Linked DNA regions of Xenopus tropicalis. The protein of the gene in region 1 interacts with the protein of each later gene in a biochemical or structural test. Links are inferred from orthologs where the notes say so. Each region holds a gene or a part of one and is shown on either strand. Other genes may lie near its edges.

Region 1 (4,417 bases):
CACGAATCGTCTTTATTTAAACAGGAATTGCTCCAGCAGCCATTTTAGGAGCATTGGTGCTCATTCTTGGAAAACAATAATGTGTTTAAGTTTCATTTGAAACTGGGTGAAAAAGAAAACAATGATGGGATTAGCTTCCCCTTGAAACCGTGTGAAATAGAAAACAATTAGGGCATTAACTTCCCCTTGAAAATGTGTGAAATAGAAACCAATGAGGGCATTAACTTCCCCTTGAAAATGTGTGAAATAGAAACCAATGAGGGCATTAATTTCCCCTTGAAAATGTGTGAAATAGAAACCAATGAGGGCATTAACTTCCCATTGAAAATGTGTGAAATAGAAACCAATGAGGGCATTAACTTCCCCTTGAAAATGTGTGAAATAGAAACCAATGAGGGCATTAACTTCCCATTGAAAATGTGTGAAATAGAAACCAATGAGGGCATTAACTTCCCCTTGAAAATGTGTGAAATAGAAACCAATGAGGGCATTAACTTCCCCTTGAAAATGTGTGAAATAGAAACCAATGAGGGCATTAACTTCCCCTTGAAAATGTGTGAAATAGAAACCAATGAGGGCATTAATTTCCCCTTGAAGCTGGGTGAAATAGAAAACAATGAGGGGATTCACTTCTCGTTGAAAGTTCAAGGACAGGCTGTCACTGACTATTCTATTCCTCTACTATTCTGTCTGGTACTCAACAGATCAAACCTGCCAAATTCTTTTTTTATTTTAGAAAAACTCGAAATTTTTGGCATAACAATAACAAAAAAAATCAAGTTCTGCCGAAATCGCATTTGTAAATCTCGAAATTATCTAGAAGTAAGAAAAAATCCGACTTTATCTCAGAATTGCTTAGTACTAGACTATATTTGGGTCCATGATAAAAAGGCTAAGGAACCCTAGACTAATGATTATCCTCTGCCGACTGGTGCAGCTGCGTCAGAAGTTTTCAGATGGTGTTACATAATTTATTGATATTACTGTCCTCCAAAACACATCATGTTCTGGAATATCATACAATATCCTTTTTCTTAAACAAACTTGCATTTTTCTTCCAAGTATGTGGTCCTGATTTCCAACTGTGCTTTGGTAAATGAAAGATACTGAATTTTGTGAAAGCCAAAGAAAATCATAGAATGTGTTGACATCCGAGCGATGCATTGTGGGATATCCCAGTCATGTCTACCCAAGGATATGTGCCAACATTTTCTATGACCCATGGTAGCAAACATCTCAAGCATCATAAGAGATTTTTTAGCCATTTAGAAACACATTATCACCAGGCAGAAGACAATAGATTATCCATGCCCATTGTCCTGGGTGATGTGCTGCAGAGATTCCCATAAACAGAGAGTCAGTTTAACATTTCGAATACTCAATTTTTTACGCTCGGAAGCTACATGTGGTAGCAAATTGCTTCTAGAACCATATCCCCGTCTAGCTCCTTCCTGGCAAAAATTGTCTTTCTCACTGGCCCCTGGCACGCAGTCGTTTATTCAGCTGTTCATTCCCTAGTTAATCCAGAATCTTAAAATAAAAACAAACAAGGTCTTTAGGGAGCGGACGCAGGGAGACTATATACTGAAACCCTGTCCACACTTGAAATAGAGGAATAAGGATTCTAATCGGTGGTCCAAAATCGTCTTGCATTGGTGGAGGAGAGGTTGACCCATATCTAATATTGAAATCTGCTGAAATAATAGAACTCAAGCCGCAATATCTTCAAACAGCCCAAAGCCGGACATCTAGGTTTTAAAGTATTATAAAAATCTGTTTTTATTTAAGATAAATGGGGTGGGATTTAAAGCAGCCTGATGTTCCTTGTAACAAGGTTTATTGACTCTTTGCTTAGGTCCATCGGGTATTTATCAAGGAGCCAACGGTTTGACCAACGCAGGAGCCTTTGGAAGTGTGCACCAGGTAAGATTCAATTGGGAAACCTTGTCTTTTTGCATCATGTTTTGCGCAGGAGTATATATCTGTATTGGAACGATCAGACTACTCTGAGAGATCCACTTAGGTGGTACTTAGTTGGAAGTTATCTGACAGTTATCGGATTCAGAAGTCATTTTAGGTCTGGAGTTTATTACTTCAGCCAGGGTCATCTTTCACTGGGGCAGGGCCAGGACAAACACCATTGTGGGTAACCATTATTTGTATAGAATTGTCTTATCCATGGTCCTTTGGCTTTTGCCAAGCACTGAGGGTTGTGTGCCCTATTCTAACCATCTCATAATACTGCCACTGCCTTGCCCTACTGTCTCCATCTTGCCCAACTCTACAGTTGCCATCTTGTTCTTCTGTTTCTATCCTGTCCTACTGTCAATAGTTTGACCATCATGCCATCTAATGCTTTACCCTACTGGCACTAATTTTAACCCATCATATACTATTGTCATTATTTTGCTATCTTGCTCTATTCTTACCTTGCCCTACCGTATGTGCGTCACCCTCACACTTTCTACCTACAACTACTAGTTAGCTAAGTCCTCTGTATGTAGGGCCAAGGGCATTTGCCACTATTTGTTCCATATTAAAGAGCTCAGTCCAAGCCCGACATTTATCCTTTATTATGTATCTAATACTAAGGTTCACATTTATTTTTTTAAGGAATATTCATCATATCCAGGCTTCAGTCAAGGCCAGTACCCACAGTATTACAGCTCTTCGTACAACTCTCCATATGTACCCACAAACAGCATCAGCCCCACAGCCCTGTCTACAGCCGCATACTCAATCCATGAATCCTCTCACCATGTCTCCAATCAGAGCACAGAATCACTATCAGGTAGGTCATGCAAGTATTGATTGGTTGAAGGGACCCTGTCCTTTAGTGGGTTTGGCCACTGGGTCAAACAGACAAAAGTGCCTATGAAGGCAAAGTCACTGTATAAGCATCTTCAAACCTTCATCAGCATCTTAAAACCTTAATGTTTTTGTGTTTGCAGAGGAGGAATTAAATTGCACTACCCATTATGTTTCAGGGGAGTACAACACTCATAATGGTCCCTCCACCCCAATTAAAGATTCAGAAAATGATCGACAACAGCGAGGATCTGACGCCAAATTACGCGGAAGGTCTAAAAGAAGTAATGACCCATCTCCTGCAGTGGATAATGAAATAGAGGTATGTCATTTCAACAAACATGTATACGTGTGTGTGTGTATAGATAGTATAGAAATAAACATATACACATATACAACTACTCCACCACAAGGGTGTTCTAGGGTGCATTGGTACTTATTGCTATGCATGGATATGCCTTACACCATCCTCGCCACCAAACATGGCATTTGGACATGAAAGAAAACAGAATTATAAGTGAGGGGTAGGTTTTTTGTCTTAAATGGAACATTCCAAATATCTTCTCGAGGGCAGCGTTGCCAGTCATAATAAATGCAGACTGGTAATAGTCTATTGTGCCAAACTTTCCCAGATGTTGCGGATTACAGCGTGAACTCTGCTCTTGCTAAAAAAGTACCAAACAATTAATGAGCTGTGATTTACTGACTTTGGAATTAAATGATTTGGAACACGATTGTGTCAGGTCAGGGGGAACAGGCAGAAACACATGTTCCTCTATATCAATGGGACAACTCTAGCAATGTTGTGTTGAAAAAAAAGATGGTCATCATTAACAATGACATGGGGCTTGTGTCCAAAAATATCACAATACCGTCTTATATTGATGTTATTGTTGCTTTTTTTCTGTTTGCACTTTTTCCTGGTGATTGTTTGCATTGAGTCAGCTGACTCCCTGCCAAGAACTAGCACAATGTTTGTGAGAGACTGTCCAGAAACAGTTTATTTCAAGGAGCAATGTTAAATTGCTGATGGGCTCGGTTTTGTGTGGTCTTGTTGCTCAAAGAGCAGTAACTGTACTGCCCACACCTGTACCACTGCGATATGAATCTGCCACGGTCACTGTGACCGCTTTTTATCTCTCCTCCAATCTACTCTCTAACAGAGAGTGTAGTCACAAGTTCCCAGATAGACTTTGGGCTTTTTATTTCTGAATTACACTGTTTACATAAGAAATAATTCACTTTACAATTTAAAGTTTTATTTTTGAACCAACAAATGTATTTTTTTAGCTGTAATATTGGTGTGTAGGCGCCATCTCAGTGCATTGTGTCTGAGTCTGAGCAAGCGCTACACATTAGAACTGCTTTCAGGTAACCTATTGTGTATCCTACTCCTATGTAACTGGAGGAGTCCCAAGCCAGACTTGGATTTCTTACTATTGAGTGCTGTTCTAATACCTGGGATACCTGGGAGCTGATATCTTGCTCCCTTCCCATTGTTCTGTTGAGCGGCTGCTGGGAGGGGGGGATATCACTCCAGCTTGCACACCATTGTTACTTAAAATCTGGCAAATCTATTACACATTTGCCTAGATTAAAAAAAATCCTT
Region 2 (5,003 bases), on another chromosome or scaffold:
GCGCATGTTATATACACACACATAACGCAAGCATATACACAGACACACAGTTATAGAACATTAGAAGCATTATGCACGAATGCGGGTCTGTCTATATCTAACCATCATCAATCAATCCGTAGCCATAGTCTATAGTACGCAATACAGCACGAATAAACATTCCCAGCGCTGTGCTATTACCCAGTCCTATCACTCAATGGAATCAGTTCAAATATACCCCACTTTATCTAGATATTTAAGATTTTAGTCTTTTAATTACTTGTCTAAATCTTTCAGGTATGTATGGTGACTTCTATCTGTCCAACAGTAAACTATTTATTTAAGGTGTATAACCAATTATCTAAATATTCTATGATATATATGATTAGATATAAACGGATATGAGTAAAAACAGATTTAAAACTTCCTCGTCCGAATTTAAATAGATAAACTACCTAGTCGATTGTCTATTTATCTAATTATTTACCTGTCTATCAGTATTTAATATGTCTTACTGTGCATTGACCCAATTATCAAAATACTGTAGAATAGATTATTAGATATAAACAGAAATAAAACTACATGGTCGAATTGTCTATTAATCTATGTATTCTTATCTAGTCGAATTAACTATCTAAATGTAATAATTAAAATATATGTATCTATATCTTTGTAAAGCATTCTGTTACCTGTCTACATATCAATTTATCTATATTTGTGTAAAGTTTACAGTCATCTATATATCGATATAATGATTCTATCTATCTATCATCTATCTATCTATCTATCTATCTATCTATCTATCTATCTATCATCTATCTATCTATCTATCTATCTATCTATCTATCTATCTATCTATCTATCTATCATCTATCATCAATCATCTGTCTGTCCATCCATCCATCCATCGACAGTGTATCTGTTATTTACCTGTATTAATGTAATGTTTCTATCTATCGATCTATCTTTCTGTCTAACATCTACTTTTGTCATTTTTCGGACTCAGAGAATGTGCAGAGCTTTTGCCTGCAGAAAAAATACCCTTCTTTTTAAGAAATTTTCTGACAGGCCAAATGGAGGCACTCGTATGCTTTTTTAAATAGTTTTGTTCGTGTATAAACTCCTATAACTGTATGTGGTTAGTGTGAAGGGCTTGGGTCCCCTAATTAAAGCGAACTAAAGAGTCCTGTCTATTCAGGGGCATATGAAGGGACAGTCCTTTGCTGAGGAATAGGTCACACTCCTGGCCTGCGGGACTTCAGGGTTCTCAGCCTAATGTGGATTCTAAAATAAAGTAACAATGCCATATATGTACCATGTGTATTCACTGTAGCCCCCCTTTCTTTTGCTTTCCCTACCAAACTACACGTAACAAATAGACTAGCACAAGGATACAGAACATATACTAGCTACATGGGTGGATACATAGACTGATATATGTCAGACGGATAGACAGACTAATAGATGATTGGTAGATGGAGAGATAAACTGATAAAGACAGATGGACTGACTCATAACAAAAGATAGGGCGATAGGTGGATAGATATCTAGATTTATTTTTATATTTTTAGACAAACTTGACACAACTACAGATCATTTTAGGTTTCCTTCTGAGTGTACTACAAATTAGGATTTATTTAGGCAAGTTGGAACTAAGCAGACGGGTGTATTATTTCATGCTTAACTGCTATGTAACTATATGTAAGACAGTTTTACAAATAATGGTAAAACAGACACTCAGATGGGCGGTTTGATTAGACAGCGACATAATGGAACACGAAAGACCTTAGATTTATATTGACAGCTTCATGAAGTTCTGGGTTTTAAATGATAGAATCGCAGGCAACAAATACATTTGTTAAAAGAAGAATCTAAATCCAAGGGAGCCCCATGAAGGGGGGGATTTCTAAACAAGGGACAAAAATACATTCCGGGGGAGGGGGAAATATGTAAGTGTGACATTTGCTGCTGATATATTTGCAGGCCCAAATCAAATCACATGCTGTGAGAAAGTCCCCTATAGCGCCAGTCAGTGGGAAAGGGATGGTACACCCTGTGCTGAAGTAGAGCATGTGCTGAACTAAAAAAATTGTTGTTCCCCTGCTGCCCTGGGTTTGTTTATTCTGGTGTCACAGGGAACGTGTACTCAGAGCTTCTACCTAATTTGGCGGTGTATCCATTAGGGGGAGAGGGTCACCATCTCACCAAGTATGAACCACAGTTTGTCTCTTAGCTCAGCTTTCCTAATACTGGCATGGGGGGGGGGGGGGGTTGTAACCCTATCGCTGCCAGGCTGACTGGCAATGTGTTTCATGCAAACCCACGTGGGATTCCCAAACAGGGCACACACCAGGAGTAGGAATGGAGCCAGGGGTAGGTGGTCTTTTTCTCCCACAAATGTGTGTGTGTGTGGCGGTGGTGGAGGGGGGTTAGTACTGGGATCAGAAGTCCAGAAAAGCTTTAGCTGCCCAGGGATCATGGGCTACACGGCTGAGGGCTTGGGCCTGGGGGCTTCCTTTCTGAGTGCTAACGTTTCGGCTCCAGGCTGCTGTCTCCTGCTAGAGTGCCATCTCCCTGTGCCCCTTACCTCTCTTTTGCTTCCGCCGCTCTGTCCCTTTGCCTCCTGTTCTTGAACCAATTGCTGACCTGGGTGGTGGTTAGTCCAGTGGCCTCAGCCAGCTCCCGCTTCTCCCTGGGAGACGGGTAAGGGTTATGGGCATACCATTCTCTCAGCACCCCTCGGGACTTCTCCTTAAAGCAGTAACTGGTCTCTTCTCCATCCCAGATTGTCCTGGGCAGGGGGAATTTCCTTCTGACCCTGTACTTGCCCACTGCCCCCAGCGGTCTCCCCCTCAGTTTCTCTGCTTCCACATAGTGAGCCTTGAGCCAGAGTTGCTGCAGTTTGGGGTGGTTGTGCGGGGAGAACTGATGGCTCTCCAGTATCTTATACAGTTCTCTGAAGTTGCCCCTGTGAAATGCCACCACGGCCTTTGCCTTCAGCACACTCTCATTCTTGTGGAGGTGATCACAGGCTGGCAAGGACCATAGGAACCTGCCCAGTCTCTCCAGGTTGCCTCCCTGCTGCAGCACCTCGCACACACAGGCCACTTGCTCCTGAGTGAAGCCAAAGGAAGGCAGCATAGACATGGCTCAGTGTGGCACAGCCAGGGGCCCACAGCGCACACGTAAAGGCATACACGGGGAGCACACGCTATATCCACGGCTCTGAGCGCAGGGAAAGTACTGGCTTGTCTGGGGGATGCTGCAGCCCGGAGCTGGAACAACTTTGTTTCTCTCCAGTTAGCTGCCTCCTTAAAGCTCCCATTGGCTGCGCGCACTGATTGGCTGCGCCTGCGGGGGCTGGATATGCACAGAGAGCTGCACAGGCTGGAGGGTGGGGAGGGCACAGGGGTGATGCTGCTGCCCTCAGGGGGGAGACACGTCAGGGCCCTGCAACATGAGCCCCGTCTCAAGTATCACCTAAGGGGAGCAGGGCTCATCTCTGCACAAATCAATTATTCCAGCAGGGCCTTTGTGTGTGTGTGAGAGAGAGAAAAATCAAAAAATGCCATTGTCCATTTCAGGTGAGCTGCTATTTAATTACCTTAATGTTGGGGATGAATAAATCATAGCTTAATGAATGGCTCCTGCTCAGGGATGAATAATTAACTCCAAGATGGAGCTTTAACATAGGGCTGCAGTATGGTTCCCAAGTCGTAATCCTTCTAGTATCTCAATCTTACTCCTTAGGCTGGGGCAACACAAACCTCCTCTGGATTTGTGAGGGTAACACACAAATATATGCGTTATATTATGTGTGTCTATCATCTATCTATCTATCTATCTATCTATCTATCTATCTATATATCTATATCTATATATATATATATTAGAACTACTTACAATCCAACATCTAAATATTATTTTTTGTTTTGTTAAGCCGTATAATTTGCCCTCTTTTGCAGGAATCCAGAGGAAATAATGGCCCGTGGGTGTGGGGAAATACTTGGCTAATTGAAGAGAGAATGGCAAGGCTGAAAGAAAACACTCTGAGGCATGATATTTCGTTTATTTGAAGAGGGTATTTAGTAAAATTGCCCAGAGAAGTCCCACTCTAATTAAGTTGATCCTCATTTGCACACCTTGTTTGAAAGCAATTATTAAAAAGATTTCCCAAACAATTAGGCTTTGTAAACACAGATAATGTATTGTTGGTAGCACTGGAGGCTCAGAGATAAGAACAATAGGTTCAGATAAGGGAACAGAGAGGTGGGAAAGCAATCCTCAGGCACTGACTGACTAGTCATTTCATACACTTTGGCTATCAGGTAAGAATGATCACATGACCTAATAAAGGATATTCGCATTAATTAGACACAGTTGGCCAGACGTGTGCCCACAGCCAATGGGACAGAGAACAATATTGCTCCCTATCAAATTCCCCTTTCCCCTGTTATAAGTAGGTGTAGTGGAAGGGATCTCAGTTGTACCAACCACTGCCACAAACACATATAAAATGCTCTCTGGCTGGTACATAATTGAACCTGGATCACTTAGTCCTAAATGAACATGGTATTGTATTACATAGGCCCAAATTAACATACACATATTGTATATTTTTTATGTGAATATTTACACAAGCATGAAAGCACTGCACACTTAAATGGAATACAGATAATAAGCAATATGGTAGAACTGGATACATATAAAACATGGGTGGGTGAGTGTTTGTTTATGTGCTAATAAGCAGGGCCCCTACAGACATCACACTGAATTAAGTAGGAAGTAGGAAGACCTTCTTTAAAATCCCTAACCAGACTGCTGTGGGTAAAGTAACTAAGTCTTCCTTAATTTATTTTCATGTGCGTCTTTGTATTTATTGGCCTGCCTGTTTCCATCTTGTGACTGGTAGACATATTATTCGCCTTATATTCAGACTTTCAAGCTGCTGTCTGGTTGCTAGGGCCGTTGCTATAGCCACCAGATAGCAGCTGAAATTCTAAATCTGAGATTTGCAGAAAACA

What was found.
Region 2: the proteins of eya2 (region 1) and six1 form a complex in vitro, tested with the Homo sapiens proteins (2 studies listed by IntAct, with this or other methods). The link is inferred for Xenopus tropicalis from reciprocal best matches to the Homo sapiens genes EYA2 and SIX1.

What each region holds. Positions count from the first base shown.
Region 1 is NC_030686.2:37,333,071-37,337,487, reverse strand, and holds part of eya2 (eyes absent homolog 2), read left to right. Parts: intron 1-1,855; coding exon 1,856-1,923; intron 1,924-2,613; coding exon 2,614-2,791; intron 2,792-2,951; coding exon 2,952-3,130; intron 3,131-4,417. UniProt on the Homo sapiens protein: Functions both as protein phosphatase and as transcriptional coactivator for SIX1, and probably also for SIX2, SIX4 and SIX5.
Region 2 is NC_030684.2:102,413,893-102,418,895, reverse strand, and holds the start of six1 (homeobox protein SIX1), read right to left. Parts: upstream 3,228-5,003; 5' UTR 3,127-3,227; coding exon 2,567-3,126; intron 1-2,566. UniProt on the Homo sapiens protein: Transcription factor that is involved in the regulation of cell proliferation, apoptosis and embryonic development. Plays an important role in the development of several organs, including kidney, muscle and inner ear.